Linked DNA regions of Astyanax mexicanus. The protein of the gene in region 2 purifies or fractionates together with the protein of the main gene of each other region. This does not show direct contact. Links are inferred from orthologs where the notes say so. Each region holds a gene or a part of one and is shown on either strand. Other genes may lie near its edges. The genes, in order: arl2 and tubb5.

Region 1 (8,224 bases), on a different chromosome or scaffold from region 2:
ATATATATATATATATATATATATATATATATATATATATATAATTTTATTTCAATTATTTTCCCACTTTCTTCCCAATGTACACGGTCACTTACCCAACCCACTCATTAGGACTCCCTCTATCACTACCGATGCCCCAACACCAGGAGGGTGAAGACTAGCACATATAAAGTCAGCCACCGCCTCTTTTCGAACTGCTGCTGGTGCCGCATTGCCGAGTAGGCAGCGCACTCGGAGGAAAGCGCAGCGACCTGGTTCCGAAACATCAGCTTACAGACGCCTTGTGTAGCGGACACCTTTGGAGTGATGAGGAGAGAGAGTGCCATCTACCCACCCAAAAAGAGCTAGGCCAATTGTGCGCTCTCAGGGCTCTGTTGGCCGATGGCAAGCTACATGAACAGGATTCGAACTGACGATCTCCTGATCATAGTGGAAGCGCTTAGTCCGCTGGACTACTAGTAACTTTTCTAAATATATATATATATATATATTATCTTAATATTTTATTACAACGGGGTGAATGTAAGTATTACGACAATTTGATAAATATAAAGTAAAATTAACATTATTAATTTTTGACATACAGTTTGTGTCATCAGTCGTCATAAGATTCAGAGTACATTTAAATCCAGTGTAAATCAGTTATCCAGCCTTTATCAGATTAGAGTGTATTTCTGTAGTTGCTTATGGTAACTGAGTGTGGTTTTGTATCAGCCTAAACTTCACTTCCTCTCTAAACTGTCCCAGGACACAAGTCTTTGCCCACTCCTGCAGACACTTTCACTCTCCCAAGCCCGTTTCCTGTGATGTCAGAGTGGTCAGAAACCCCCCTGATTCAGAGCCAAGCAGTTCAGAGTCATGACATTATAAATCAACTATTCCTGGTAAGGAATGTCATTATTCAGTATTGCGTAAACTAGCAGTAATTTGAGAAGACCTAATTTAAAAATGCTCCAGGGGCCTGGTGCCGGGTTTCAATCCTCACTCTGGTCACTGTCCGTGTGGAGTTTGGCATGTTGTCCACGAGTTCATGTGGGTTTCCTCTGGGTATCTTGGTTTCTTCCCACTTTCTAAAAACACACAGTAGATAAACTGATGAACTGTCTATGCTAAATTGTTGGTTACACTATTAAGCCATATCTGAAACTGTCATATTCACTATTCCCTACATGTGAAATTCTACATCATTAAATAGAGCATTCACTATTATAAGGACAGAATTTGATTAGTGTTTCCTTCCTCAGATGTCAGAATTTCCAAGTTGCAAATGGGAAATTTCAATTCTTAGAGGTCGGATTTCCTACACAGAAGGTGGAAAAGCCTCAGCAGCAAAATCCAGTTCAGAATCCAAGATGGCTGCAGTACATATTAACAGTATTATTATTTAGTTTTTTTTACTGACTTCTATCTGTTTGTGTCAGCTCTATCTAATATATACCTGTAGGTGTGTTCCTGTGGTGTTTGAATGTACAAAATATTGCAATCTATTGTTATCAACTGGCTAATATTGCTAATTTGGGACTAAAGGTATTTCATGTCCGGGGACTAATTAGTTGTACAGTACATGTTGTACCTGTTGTATCTTTAGTGGGTTTGAAACACTACTAAATAAATTTGGTATATCAAGTAATTCAAGCGAAATCATAGAATAACCATTTTTGGTTCCATAACAATCCATTTTTGTAAAAATAAAATAAAACATTGAGAAAATGTAAAACCATTTGAAATATTTAACAATATTCTTTAAATTCACAGTCTCTTAAAAAAATGCTTCTTTATGGAATCAAAAGTAGCTCCTCTATGACATCGTTCAACAAGCTCATTGTAGCATCTTCATTTTTAAGAGTGTAGGTGTGAATGAACGATTACTCATGGTATCCTGCAGTGGACTACTGCCATCTTTGGGGGGATTTTCCAGCTTTCAACTAATGATTCCTGTTAGGCTTTGGGCTCACCACGTCCCTGATCAGCAAGAAGAAGATAACAATATGGGTGGGTAAATAATAACAATACTAAAAGTAAAAGATTAAAGAATTAATTAGTAATAAATGCTATTCTATTCATTTTAAGCAAGAAATGTACAGTAGCATGAAAAATGATTTGCCTCCTACAGATTTTTTATTTTTATTTTTTTGTCATACTGATATTTTTCCAATGATCAAACAAACTTTAATATCAGATAATATAATAAGATAATACGATAATATAACCTGAGGAAATATAAAAAGCACTTTATAAATCGTAATTTTATTTAGTAAAAGAAAAAAAACTATGCCCACTAAACCTAATAACTTGGTTGTGCCACCCTTGTTCTGGGGATCATCAAGGTATTTTTGGGCAACTGTGAGATAGACTTTTGTGTTTTTTTTTGTCAGCAGTTTTTTTTTGCAAGTGGATCTCTCTAACGGATAACATTTTGGACCAGTCTCTTCCTTATTATTGAATCATTAACACTGACCTTAAGTGAGGCAAGTGAGACCTGCAGTTCTTTACATGTTGTTCTGGGTTCTTTTGTGACCTCTTGGATGAGTTGTCCATGCCCTTTTGGAATAATTTTGGTCGGCCAACCACTTCTGGGAAGGTTCAACAGTGTTCCAAGTTTTCTCCATTTCTCCATAGCTCTTAGTGTGGTCTGCTGGAGTCCCAAAGCCTTAGAAATTACTTTGTAACCTTTTCTAGACTAATAGATGTCAATGACTTTGTTTTCTCATCTGTTCTTAAATTTCTTCAGATTGGGGCATGATTTGTTGCTTTTTTTTATATATATTTTATTTGCTTCACATTGATAGAAAGCTTCTTTTTTAAGTGCTTTCTTGATTTTACAGGTCTATATTTGTCTGATACTAAAGTTTGTTTGATAATCTGGAAAATGTAGCATGACAGTATGAAAAAAATGCAAAAACAAAAGTAGTTTGTAGGACTACTAAGACTATTTTTTCACAGCACTGTATCTGGTATTGGCAGTAATGCAAAGCTGTCTATGGACTTATTACATTCATTTACACATGACACGACTTTTCCCCTACAAGACACTCGTTAAAAAGTACTGGGCTTCAGAGAAGGCAAATAACTTTTTCCAAATATTTTACTATATTTTCTGAGGAAGTTTTAATAGTGTGGCAATTATAGGGAGCACAGTTCTTGGTGTGCTAATTTTTAGGACCTCCAGACATGGGCAATAGCAAACACACATATGTCATAGAACAGAACAATCTCTCCATCTGCATCAGATATGTCTATCTCAATGATACTCAGTAAAAATATGCTGCTTCTGTTGCAGTCTGCCTCTGTCTTAAACACAACTATTGCCAACTATATCCTTCTAACGCCATATATGGCCTCACATCCTGTAGGCATGGTATGTACTCAGGGAGTGCCTGGAAAATGAGGGAGTGGTCTGTCTGACCTTTTTCTGTCAGTTGAATGTTACACAACATTCTGCATTCAGCAATATTCATTTTACTTTCCCTTTCTCTGCTGTTCTTTTGGGGTATTTAAATGACCTTCTCCCAGGGAAGCCTAAACAAGTGAGCTCTTCATAAGCAGGAGAGAGGGAGTGTTTAAGTATTTTAAAGCAAACCCACATGTTTAACCACATTATCATTAACATGCCTCTAACAATAGTGAAACTGTTTTTGACCATTGATTTTCTAAACCACTTTTCGATTTTTTCATATATTTAGGGGTTTATATTTTAAACTAAACTGTACTCCTTATTATTCATTATTTAAAAGTATAGCATTATTGTAACATTACTAACATAACTGTTTCTTTTAAAGGGTGATTCTCCAAATCGGGTGCATTATTATGTAAAAAAAATATATAATTTTTAAAAAATATATGGTGACTATACTGTATTAAAATGTGTGATGTCCCTTTAGCCCTGTCATTATTATTGTTATATTGTTGTTACTGTTATTGGAAAGTTCTTTATTAATATTTTGATGGTAAGTAGAAATATGAAGGTAATGTTTATTGGACTGCATGTTTTACAAAAAACAAAAAAAGCCTAATGAAATCTTAATGTTAATGCATAATTTTGGATAAATTATTAAATTAAAAACTGGAGACTTGTCCAATAAGCTGTCCCACAGGGAAGTGTTTTTAGTCACAGGCTCAATGAATCAATTATCAGATGAAATTATCATTTTAAGGTATTTTCTCCAAAAAGGCAAGGATCCAAAAAGAACCCATCTTAAAGAATGACCCTGAATATCTCTGTAAATTACATATTAAACTAAGTTATGTTCATATTTATATATACAGTACATTTAAGACATATTTATATATGATTTTTGTAGCTTATTTTTAAGCACAACTTATATTTATAAACAAAATTGTCTCAGTATGTTTATTAATTTAGCAGATTTTGACAGTGTTTGTATTAAATGTAATATATGATATATGTAGGAGTAGAAGTCTACTTTAAATAAGACATAGGTCGTTTTTTTTGTAAATTTCATTTTATTTTATTTACCCAGTAAGATATGCAGATTGATCAATAACCAAATATATTATGAAAATATTCTTGAACTTGTTTTCTTTGCATTTTTTGAGGTCTGAAACCTCTTTTTTTCATTTCTCTTTTTTCCCCCAAATAAATGCTCTAAATGGCAATGTTTTATTTGGTTTACTTAAACATATACCTATAAATATCAAAATTACAGAAACTGACTCAGAAACTAAAGCGCTCTTGTTTTTTTCCAGAGCTGTATATGTATAGTTTCAGGATTTTCAAATTAAAAGTCTGTATGAACCATAGACTGTACTGTATATAGCTTTATATACAGTCTATGGTATGAAACGGTTTTGCAGTGATTGACGGCGGTTTAACAAATTAAAACTGCAGACACGCCCTTCGTCTGCCCTAAGAGGGCGGTACCACTGATGATAGGTAACCAATCAATTTCATCAACTATTTTTATTGTCCTACCGGGTGACCAATCAGGTTTGAGTATGTTGGAGCGGCGCACAGAACACTTCCTGGATTCAGAGAAAGCGCTGGTAGCGCGAGGGAGCAACAGAAGATGTTCTGTTTCTGAGAATTCATACACAGAGGAGCTTCATCAGCGATGTGATTTCACCATTCTGAAGGGTTCCAGTTTCCGCGGCGGCGTTTAGTAACCGGTTCTGGTTAGAGAGTTCACCATGGGGTTATTAACTATACTCAGAAAGCTGAAGCACAAGGAGCGGGAGATGCGCCTGCTGATGCTGTATCCTTCAGGAATTAGCATTATCACTGTAGACAGATGCTGCTGTGTGTTCTTTTTTTATAAAGCTGGTACTGACAGTTTTAGTATTACAATATCTATCTATTTGTCTGCTGGGTTGTTAACACTAATTAGTAGGACTGTGTAATAGTAGGGACGAAACTGACATAGCAATATTTTGTTGTTCTGCAAAAGCTATATACTGGGATTAGGACTCGGCTATATGACGGTATTAAAGTTGTGTTCAAAATTATTCTACACCCACTGCAGTAAAGTGTTTTAGCAAGTTTAACATTTATATTTTATCCTGTTCACCATCAGATCAAATAGGAAATTGTATCATCAGGTGTTTTTAATCAGGCATTGAAGCACCCGTAGAAATATACAGTACCAGCAGCAATTAAACAGATTTGAAAGGACTTGAAAGGATACTCAGCTCCTTCTAGACAGTTAATGGTGTCTTTGCAACACGGTAAGATAAGTCCAGAGAGTGGTCAAAGAAGTCTAGAGAGGAGATATTCAAGAGACACAATTGGAAGCATAATATATTACAGCATTACAATATTACAATTACCCTCTGTCTAGACTTCTTTGACCATTCCCTGGACGTCACCATGTTGCAAAGACAACATTAACTCTCTAAAAGGAGCTAAGTATACTTAATTGCTGCTGGTTGTGGTTCTGTTCAGATCTAGAGGTGTGCCTAATCAATGCCTGATTGAAAACACCTGACTGAAACTCCTGTTCTTGAGAGAGGTTTATTATGCACTTAACCTTAATGCCTCAACTGGAGGTATTTTTGGAGACCCACAGGGTTCTATTTTAGGACTGATATTAATTATGCCAATAACATGCTGTAGTCATGAGAACAGCTCCTGTGACTCCTTAACCATGAGTGCAGTGGTCTGGACAACGCTGGAAAAACGACCATCCTGAAGAAATTCAATGGCGAAGACGTCAGCACTATTTCTCCAACCCTAGGATTCAACATAAAGACGTTAGAACATAGAGGGTAATGTCTGAACCTGAACTGTACTCTTTTCTATGACTTGCATAGAATTTCTAACAATTTCTTGTACATCTTAACATCACTGTTTACAATTTTCTCCATATCTATATTTTAGTCAGTTGGCCAAGACATCCCAGCTGGTCCCATAATTGATAGATAATGTCTGTTTGAACATAGATTGGGACATCAGTTGACAAAAATTTAGTGTGAGGAAATGTCTAATCCCAACGTTATACTGACATGTAAAAGCAAACAAAGTAGATGATTATGTTTTGATATGCTGAGTAACCAAAATTAAGTGTCTTCACATGTCATGTCGTGTTGACAAAAAATACCAACTTTTAGGGGCATGGTGAGGTATGATGATTTAAAACACAACATCTGCTGAGTATCACAATGTTAATGCCTCATGTTGCTATATGCTAATGTGTTGTTAAGTAACCAAAATTTAACATCTTTCTAACATTGGAATTTGATATCAAATCATTGTTGATTTTGGATGAGTTTACTTGATATATGAGTTTACTTTAAAACTAAAATGTTTTTGATTTATGTCTGTTGTCTTATGGGATGACTGCCATCTAAGTTTAACTACTGTATTTTTGAATCAGACTGTAACTGGAATCTTTCATAATTTTCTACAATACTGCAGATACCAAAAACATCTACACAACTGACTATGTTTATAGTAGGGAAATGTAATTAACTGCATAAAATGGCTATACTAACCTCAACCCAGATATTAGTTAAATTAATAATACCTTACTGATTGGACACTCTTAATGAATCATCTCTGCCATAAGTGGTCTAGTTGTATCATTTCAACTAATGGCTTCTTGACGCATACATCCTTCTTGTCTGCTCTTTTTCTTTGATGTGAAAATAGGTTCAAATTAAATATCTGGGACGTAGGAGGTCAGAAATCATTGCGATCCTACTGGAGGAATTACTTTGAAAGCACAGATGGACTGGTGTGGGTGGTGGACAGTGCAGACAGACTGAGACTGGAGGACTGCAGAAAAGAACTTGGTGCTCTGTTACTGGAGGAGGTGAGAATGTTTATTCATTAATACTGAACGATTCATGTACTGGATTACGTTCTCAAGACATGTCCAGTTTCTTTCCTCAGATTTGTCCTTATATTTGTCTGCTTTGATCTTGCTTGTCTAATCATTCTTGTTTCTTTTTACCAGAGATTAGCAGGAGCCACACTTCTTGTATTTGCAAACAAACAAGATCTGCCTGGTGCATTGTCTAAGGATGCAATCAGAGAGGTTAGTGTTTCTTCATTGCACTTAAAACACTAGGAGGATTTAAGGTTTTGTTTGGACTGCCAGCCCAAATCAAATTTTTGGTCTGTCTAGATTGTATCCAGATTAGGGGTGGGCGATATGGCCCTAAAATAATATCACAATATTTGATGGTATTTTCAGAATACACTACTGCAACCAAATAAAAATGTAATGTTATTATTGCCTATTATATGATATGGCACACCCCTAACTGAGATATTAAAAAATAAAAATTTCTTCAGATTTATAACAGAAGTCAATGATCCAGAATGTCATGACACATAATAATACACAATTTTGATTGTCTTGATAGTTTAAAAAAAACATGAAATCCATACAGATGTGCTTAGGTCTGGACTCACAAGTCTGATTATAAAGATTTCACAACAACCCAAACAACAACCACGTCAAATCCTGATTGACCTCAACTTGAGAGTACAACGGTTTGGAAAAGATGATGATTCACCACCATTTCCCTTGTTCCCATGAATGAAAGCCACATCACCAGCATGGCTGCGTGGTTACTGATGTTTGTGTTTTTATCACTGCAACCCCATGCAAATAGATTTGTGGTATCTCAATACAAGTCAGATCTCATCAGTTGCAAATAACAGTGTGAATAATCAAATCTAATTTGATAAATAGATCCAGTTTGCCTGCAATCACAATATACAAGCATTAAACACACTATTGTTTAATAGGAAGAGAACTAA
Region 2 (7,514 bases):
GTCCATGTAAGGAGCATGGATTTAATCTGGAACAAAAAGCAGCATATGGAGTTATAATCAAGCCGCCCGACTGCATAAATGACCTCGATCTGAACGACAGTGAGAGTAAAGGAAGAGTGGGACTGCAAAATGAGGATCTCAAGGTATAGAGGGAGTAATTGCTTTGAAAGAATGAGGACAAACAGCAGGGAAGTGCTGAGTGGCATGGTCAACTCCCATCACTTCCATCAGACCACGCAGGCAAAGCCCCACTGTCATCAGGAGCATCAATTAAAACTTATATAAGCAGCCAGAGTTCTGCCCTGTCACCACACATGCCTGTCTACAAACAGGAAAAAACAACAACAGCAATTAAACTGCTGCGTATTGTGATATGCATGACTCTCAGACTATTAAATGTCGGATAGCGTAGAAAGTGTAATTGGTATTGCTTCTTGGATTTTGTTTAATGTGTGTAATCATTGTAAAGGTCCCTCCACATTAGTTTAAAGTTACAATATCAGCAGTATCGCAACCCTCGATCAGATAGATATCACAAAATCAGAAGTATGGCAACCCTCACCTGATGATGATATGATTAGTTAGGTATTAGTTAGATATCAATATTGGAATTATTGCAACCCTCATTTAGTTAGATATTACAATATTAGTAGTATTGCAAACCCTTGATTAGTTAAATATGAAAATATTGGTAGTATCTTAATTCTAACTCAATGCTGTGAATCAGTAGTATCGTAACCCTCGCCCGGTGCTGTGATTAGTTAGATATCACATTATTGGTAGTATCGCAAACTTTTGCATGTGCTGTAATGAGTTTGATATCACAATATAGTAAACATTGAACCCTCGTCCACTGTGATTAGTTCGAAATCACAATATCTGTAGTATCGCGACCCTTGCCTGATGCTGTGATTAGTTAGATATCACAATATTGCTAGTATTGAAAATTTCGCCCGATGCTGTGATTAGTTATATATCACAATCTCTGCAGTACTGCAATCCTCGATTAGTTAGATGTCACAATATCGCTAATATCGCAACCCAATATCGGTAGTATTGAAACCCGGTAGTATTGCCCGATGCTGTGATTAGCTCCATATCACAATATTGGTAGTATTGCAAAGGTTGAAATTGTGATTACAATTGAAAATTGATAGATATTGATATTGATTCAGCTCATGATCAGCTCTGATGGTAGGCTATCTCCTTAACTAGGTCTTGACCATAGGCTGTGTTTTCTCTGGATGACCAGCTGGTTTTGGATTTTTCAGCAGGGCGGGTGAGACGGCAGTGATATGCAGGCAGGAATAACCCCTGTCTTTTTCCTCGGTTAGTCAGACTAAATCTGGTTTGAGCCACAGGCCTGCAGATGAAGCAGCTGGGAGACCCATTACCATCCCTCATCTTCCATCTGCTGGAGCCTGCGCCCCTCCCCACCCAAACCCGGTTCAATACAATGCCTGTTCACTCAAATACGCCCAGTATGTGGAGCCATTATCTTCATAATGAGATGGATCAATAGACTCTCTGCGTTTCTCATGAGCCCTTTATAATAAATTGCCATCCAAATAGTTATAACAGATATATAACAATGCACTAATGAAGCTGGCTGTTGTTGGCATTTGTATTTTTTTAGTGTATTAGTGAAACTATAAGGGGGTTAATAGCAGATTACAATAGATCCTCTTAGCTGTCTATCTACCATAGTCTGTGATTTGACATAGACTGACATTTTCAGCTTTTATTGTCCAAAAAATGTAGAAAAAATATGTAAAATAATATTGTTTTAATAAATTAAGAGGTTGATTATATTAAACTATTATTTATTGTGCATAATTGTATAAATATTGTTGAGTTTTCTCCAGATAAAGGTAGTTTTCTTTGTCAGTGGTTTTCTGTCTGTGTCGCCCCACCCTTCCTTCCCACTCTCATTCATCTGATCTGCACCAAATTTATCCATATTCACACAAAAATACAGAAAACGACGACTTAAAATGCAACAAAAACCATTACAAACAGATTATGGGTGAAAAAGACCCTTTTTTAATCTGAAAAACGTGCTGACAGCTTTTTAACCCCGCATTTGCCTCAGCTCCATCGCCTAGTAACGAAGCAGAATGCGCTAGCGAAGCTTTTTGACGGAATTTCCAATTCCTCCTTAAATTCTGCAGCAGTTCCATTCTAGGTCCAATTCCTCTCGCAGAGCGCCTGAATGGAACCGCTGCAGAATTTAAGGTGGAACGGGAAAATTCCGAACCAGACAATGTTAGCTTAGCTTTAGACAGACAGTGTGGAGCTCGCGCCACGCCCGTTAGCCGGCAAGACAGCAAGAGAAAGGGAGTGAAAGGAACCGAAAAGGAAAGGAAAAATCACGAATTTAAGATATTTATTTGTACTTTTTGAGGGATTCTGTGAGTGCTTTTTTGCTTTTTCATACAAACATGCTGCAATCATTTTTTTCACAATAATTTTTTTTAAATAAACTTTAAATTAATTAACTTATTCACTGAATGCGTGAATATCAACTACTATTCTGTTTTTTTGTCAAAAAAACATATAATAAATGCATAAAATACAAGATATAGTTAGATTAAGAAGTTAAACCTGACCTACATGTTGATCTGCATCTAACGTTAACTAACTAATACAGACAGACCTAGCTATATGGTTCTCTTAGATAATAATGGATAGAAGATACATTGCTGCATATATATATATATATATATATATATATATATATATATATATATATATATATATATATATATATATATTTATGCATATGGCTACATTAATATTTAAAAATGCATTTAAACATTTCTAAAGTAAAAAAAAGCTAAAGAAGCATGTTAAAATTAATATTTTTTATTGTTTTTTATATTATTGTGCAAAAAAAAAGAGCAGCTTAGGCCACCAGACCACCCCTCTGGTGTGGGGGTTTCATTGTCATCTTAAAGCCCCTTCAAGATGCATATAAGCATGTTTAAAGGCATGTTGGTCGTTTTTTATTCTTTTTTTTCCAGGAGAACAGTGCATATCCTCTTACCTTGGCACCGATCTGGTTACCGCACTGGCCGGCCTGAATATGAACGATCTCTCTCATGGTTGCAGGTGAAGTGCAGGAGTTGGGTCTCTGGTCGGATGTAACGGCGTGGCTCCGCTGTAGTGAGTCTGGCCGGACAAAGGCTTTATAATTCTGGATTCTCTCCAGAACGAGGCTCCGCTAGTAAGAGGGCGGGGCCGAGCAGCAGTGGAGCGATTTGATTTGACCGAGCGCGAGACGTGGGCGGGGCCTAATGTGAACCGTTCTCTACTAGTCTCTCTCTATATATATTTCTTTCTCTCTGCTTCTCTCTATTTCTCTCTAATTCGTTTTACTTCTATCTCTCTTTCTTTCTCTTTCTTTATCTCCACTCAGCTCATTACTTTTCTCTACTTCTCTCTCTACATATTTCTACTTATCCCTTATTCTCTCTAGTTCTCTCTTTCTTTCTCTCTAATTCTCTCTTTACTTATCTGTACTTCTCTCTACCTCTCACTCACATTTAATCTCTTTCTGTATCTCTACTTCTCTCTACTTCTCTCTATTTCTCTTTCTGTGTCTCTACATCTCTCTGCTTCTTACTGTCTTTCTATCTCTTTCTCTCTTCTTCTTTCTCTGTACTTCTCTATTTACTTTTCTCTACTTCTCAGTCTCTTTCTCTCTTTCATTATCTCTACTTCTCTCTCTACTTCTATGTCTTACTGTGTATCCCTGTTTCTCTCTCTGTCTCTATTTTCCCTCCTTCTCTACGTGTGTCTCTCTCTACTTCTCTCTATGTATCTCTCTGTGTTTGTCACTCTTTCTATTTTTCACTTTCTTTACTTCTGTTTATCTATCTCTGGAAAACAATAAGAGACCCTGAAAAATGATGAGTTTCTCTGATTTTACCAAATTGAAAACATCTGGAATATAATCAAGAGGAAGATGGATGATCACAAACCATCAAACCACCAAACTGAAATGTAAAGCAGCATAAAGTTATCCAAAAGCAGTGTGTAAGACTGGTGGAGGAGAACATGATGCCAAGATGCATGAAAACTGCGATAAAAAAAACAGGGTTATTCCACCAAATATTGATTTCTGAACTCTTAAAATATTAACTTGTTTTCTTTGCATTATTTAAGTTGCATTATGAAAGTTTTGCAAAAAAATGCTCTAAATGACAATATGTTTATTTGGAATTCAGAAGACATGTTCGTAGTTTATAAAATTAAACAACAATGTTAATTTTATCAGAGATAAAATCAGAGAAACTGATTCAGAAACTGAAGCGATCTATCTATTAGAGTGAATGTACATAAGAGGCACTACAGGGGACGCTGTTGTATTGTTTTGTGTGTGTGTGTGTGTGTGTGTGTGTGTGTGTGTGTGTAAAAGTGTGTGTGTAAGTGTGTGTGTGTGTGTGTGTGTAAGTGTGTGTGTGTAAGTGTGTGTGAGAGAGTGTGTGTAAGTGTATGTGTGTGTGTGTGTAAAAGTGTGTGTGTAAGTGTGTGTGTGTGTGTGTGTGTGTGTGCGTGCGTGCGTGTGCGTGTGTGTGTGTGTAAGTGTGTGTGAGAGAGTGTGTGTAAGTGTATGTGTGTGTGTGTGTAAAAGTGTGTGTGTAAGTGTGTGTGTGTGTGTGTGTGTGCGTGCGTGCGTGCGTGTGCGTGTGTGTGTGTGAGAGTGTGTGTGAGAGAGTGTGTGTAAGTGTATGTGTGAGTGTGTAAATGGGCGCGGCTACGTCTGTGTGCTATTCGCTGTGTTTTCTGTGCCGTGCTGCAGCTGCTGCTACAAAAACTGGTACTTTTAAGACTTTCCGCGGTTGCGAAACCTTTTCCACAGTCCACAGCTCATTGCTAAAGACCTGCTGTCGGTAAGAAACCCCAGTTTAACTACATTATTTAATATAATTCAGAATAACCGCAGCATTAGCGCAGTCAGGGGCTACGGTCGCCTGTTGGCTTGTTTACATTGATTTAGCTAATGGCTTTTGATGAGCTAGCCTAGTTAGCCTAGCTTAGCTAGCTAACAGAAACTTAACGTTACTCACTAACAGCACGCGTATAGACAGAGAGTAAAATCAGCAAACTAAATGTCCTTTTGAACTATAGGTTATGTATTTACAGCCTACCGCTGTTTAACATTATATTTCTGTTCCCAATTCCCAAGTTTTCTTCGTGTAATAGGTTGGTATAGTTAGCTAACTAGCTAACAGGGGTGTGTAGTCCAGGTCCAGAAAGTAAAAATCCACCCCAGGACTACAAAAACCACAGTTACCTGTTACCAGATTACATTTTGGTTCAGTTTTTTGTATAAAGTTATATATTGGATAAAGTTAATATAATAGTAGATTTATAAGGCTGTTCAGGTTTTTGTGTGTTCTATAAGTAACGTTAAGTATAAGTACTATTATAAAAAAGATAGATAACATATAAGTTACCTAGTTAATTTACGTAGAACAAAACTATTTTTGTCATATTTTATTTTCAAGCCTTTTTATGCTATTGAGATAATGACAATATGATAACATAACAATGCAATAAACACATTAAAGTTACCTTTAAAGCTGGGTGAACTGTTATATCTGTTATTAAAGTTAATTCTTCCGTTGGCATTGAAATATTAAAACGTTTAATACTCTGTACAATAAGTCGACAGCATAATTATTGCTCATGATTTTATGCGTGTATAAAAAAGCATTTTTATATAAAGCAAATTAGATCATTTTAAACGATTGTACCGAAGATATATTATTTTTATTTAGGTGTGTACCGACTCACCACAGCAAACTTACACTGTTATATCTGATATCTGTACAATAACTACTTTACACTGTATTAAATTGTTTTATCTTTAGTATTGTCCCATGAAAAGATATAATAAAATATTAATAGAAATGTGGGGGTTTACCCATCCTTTGTAAGATAATTCTATATGTAGCCTACAATATAATATAGCTCTGTATGATCAAAATCTTTTAAACTCTTATCCTTGATATCAAATATGAAAATATGTGTATTATTACACATTTGGTCTGTTAAATGTGGAGTTTTTTTGGCTGCTGTAAATGTTCTACATTGTTAAAGACGTGGGTTTTCTCAGCTTTTCTACTGTGGAAACTCTGAGGTTTAATCTCGCACGCAAGTCTGGACAAATCATGTGGTTGTGGTTTGTTGATTTTTTCTTTTTGTGTAGTTGAAATGAACTGAGGCGTATAGACAGGATATTATGGAGAGAGAGAGAGAGAGAGAGAGAGAGAGAGAGAGAGAGAGAGAGAAATGAATGGAGGAAGAGGGAGGGACTGCATGCCTTCAGCCACACAAGTGTCCAGAGAGAAACAGCTGCTTATCTAGTGAAAGAAGTGTCATGTGATTTGGCCACAGCTAAAAATTCACCAACGAGATATCCCTCACTCCCTCATATAGAGATTGATCTGTGGAATTTTACATGATCTGGCTCATTAAATCCATTGAATTGTCTTATAAAAATAGTAGTAAGTCAGCACAGGTGGATTTAATGTACAGTACTGAATTATTTTTCAGGTCTGATCCAGTATCAACATGTTCTACACCTGTGGTCCCAATGAGGCGATGGTGGTCTCAGGTAAGAACAAACCGTTATAGGTAGGAATTTATGGCTGGAACAAAAAGGAAATTTAATCACTTGTTCTATTTTAATAAATGTTTAATCGATCTGGTTTTTTTTTTTCATTCATTTTAAATCGTCTAGTTGTGTCTCCAGTATGAATGAAGGCCATGTGAGCTAATTTTTGTGAAAAATAAAAATAAAATCATCTGGTGATCTGGTATAACACTGCTTTAGTCAGGTGGAGGAGTGGAGGGCTGGGAGAAACTATAGGATTTCGGCTCTTGCTTATGAATATTTATACATGCAACACTGCGACACCAGGAGGCAGCGAGACGAACAACACTTTTTTGAAATAGTTTTGAAATAAAGACATTTTTACACTAATAACAGTCTTTGCAATGTCTTTGAAGGCATGGAAAAGTCATGGAAATTTATTGGTTAAAAAGTGTATTAGCCATAAATACAGCTCTGTAAAAAAATTAAGAGACCACTTCAGTTTCTGAATCACCTTTTCTGATTTTGCTTTTTATAGGTTTATGTTTGCTCAAAATGAACATTGTTGTTTTATTCTATAAACTACAGACAACATTTCACAGTTTTTAATGCATCTTGGCATCATGTTCTCCTCCACCAGTCTTACACACTGCTTTTGGATAACTTTATGCTGCTTTACTCCTGGTGCAAACATTCAAGCAGTTCAGTTTGGTGGTTTAATGGTTTTTTATCATCCATCTTCCTCTTGATTATATTCCAGAGTTTTTTTTATGGTAAAACTGGTAAAATCAAAGAAACTCATCATTTTTAAGTGCTCTCTTATTTTGTTTCAGAGCTGTATATTAAAATAAATAGTTTAATCATTAGATGTTACAATGTATGTTTGACTCTCGTTCTTTATCTGTATTTT

The links.
Region 1: the proteins of tubb5 (region 2) and arl2 purify together in Homo sapiens (co-immunoprecipitation; 3 studies listed by BioGRID and IntAct, counting the BioPlex papers as one, with this or other methods). This does not show direct contact. The link is inferred for Astyanax mexicanus from reciprocal best matches to the Homo sapiens genes TUBB and ARL2.

The regions. Positions count from the first base shown.
Region 1 is NC_064415.1:24,449,185-24,457,408, reverse strand, and holds the start of arl2 (ADP-ribosylation factor-like protein 2), read left to right. Parts: upstream 1-4,965; 5' UTR 4,966-5,148; coding exon 5,149-5,213; intron 5,214-6,111; coding exon 6,112-6,222; intron 6,223-7,105; coding exon 7,106-7,268; intron 7,269-7,412; coding exon 7,413-7,493; intron 7,494-8,224. UniProt on the Homo sapiens protein: Small GTP-binding protein which cycles between an inactive GDP-bound and an active GTP-bound form, and the rate of cycling is regulated by guanine nucleotide exchange factors (GEF) and GTPase-activating proteins (GAP).
Region 2 is NC_064413.1:1,501,661-1,509,174, forward strand, and holds the start of tubb5 (tubulin beta-5 chain), read right to left. Parts: upstream 3,206-7,514; 5' UTR 3,104-3,205; coding exon 3,047-3,103; intron 1-3,046. Other genes in the region: flot1b (flotillin-1b), read left to right, coding at 6,583-6,625. UniProt on the Homo sapiens protein: Tubulin is the major constituent of microtubules, a cylinder consisting of laterally associated linear protofilaments composed of alpha- and beta-tubulin heterodimers.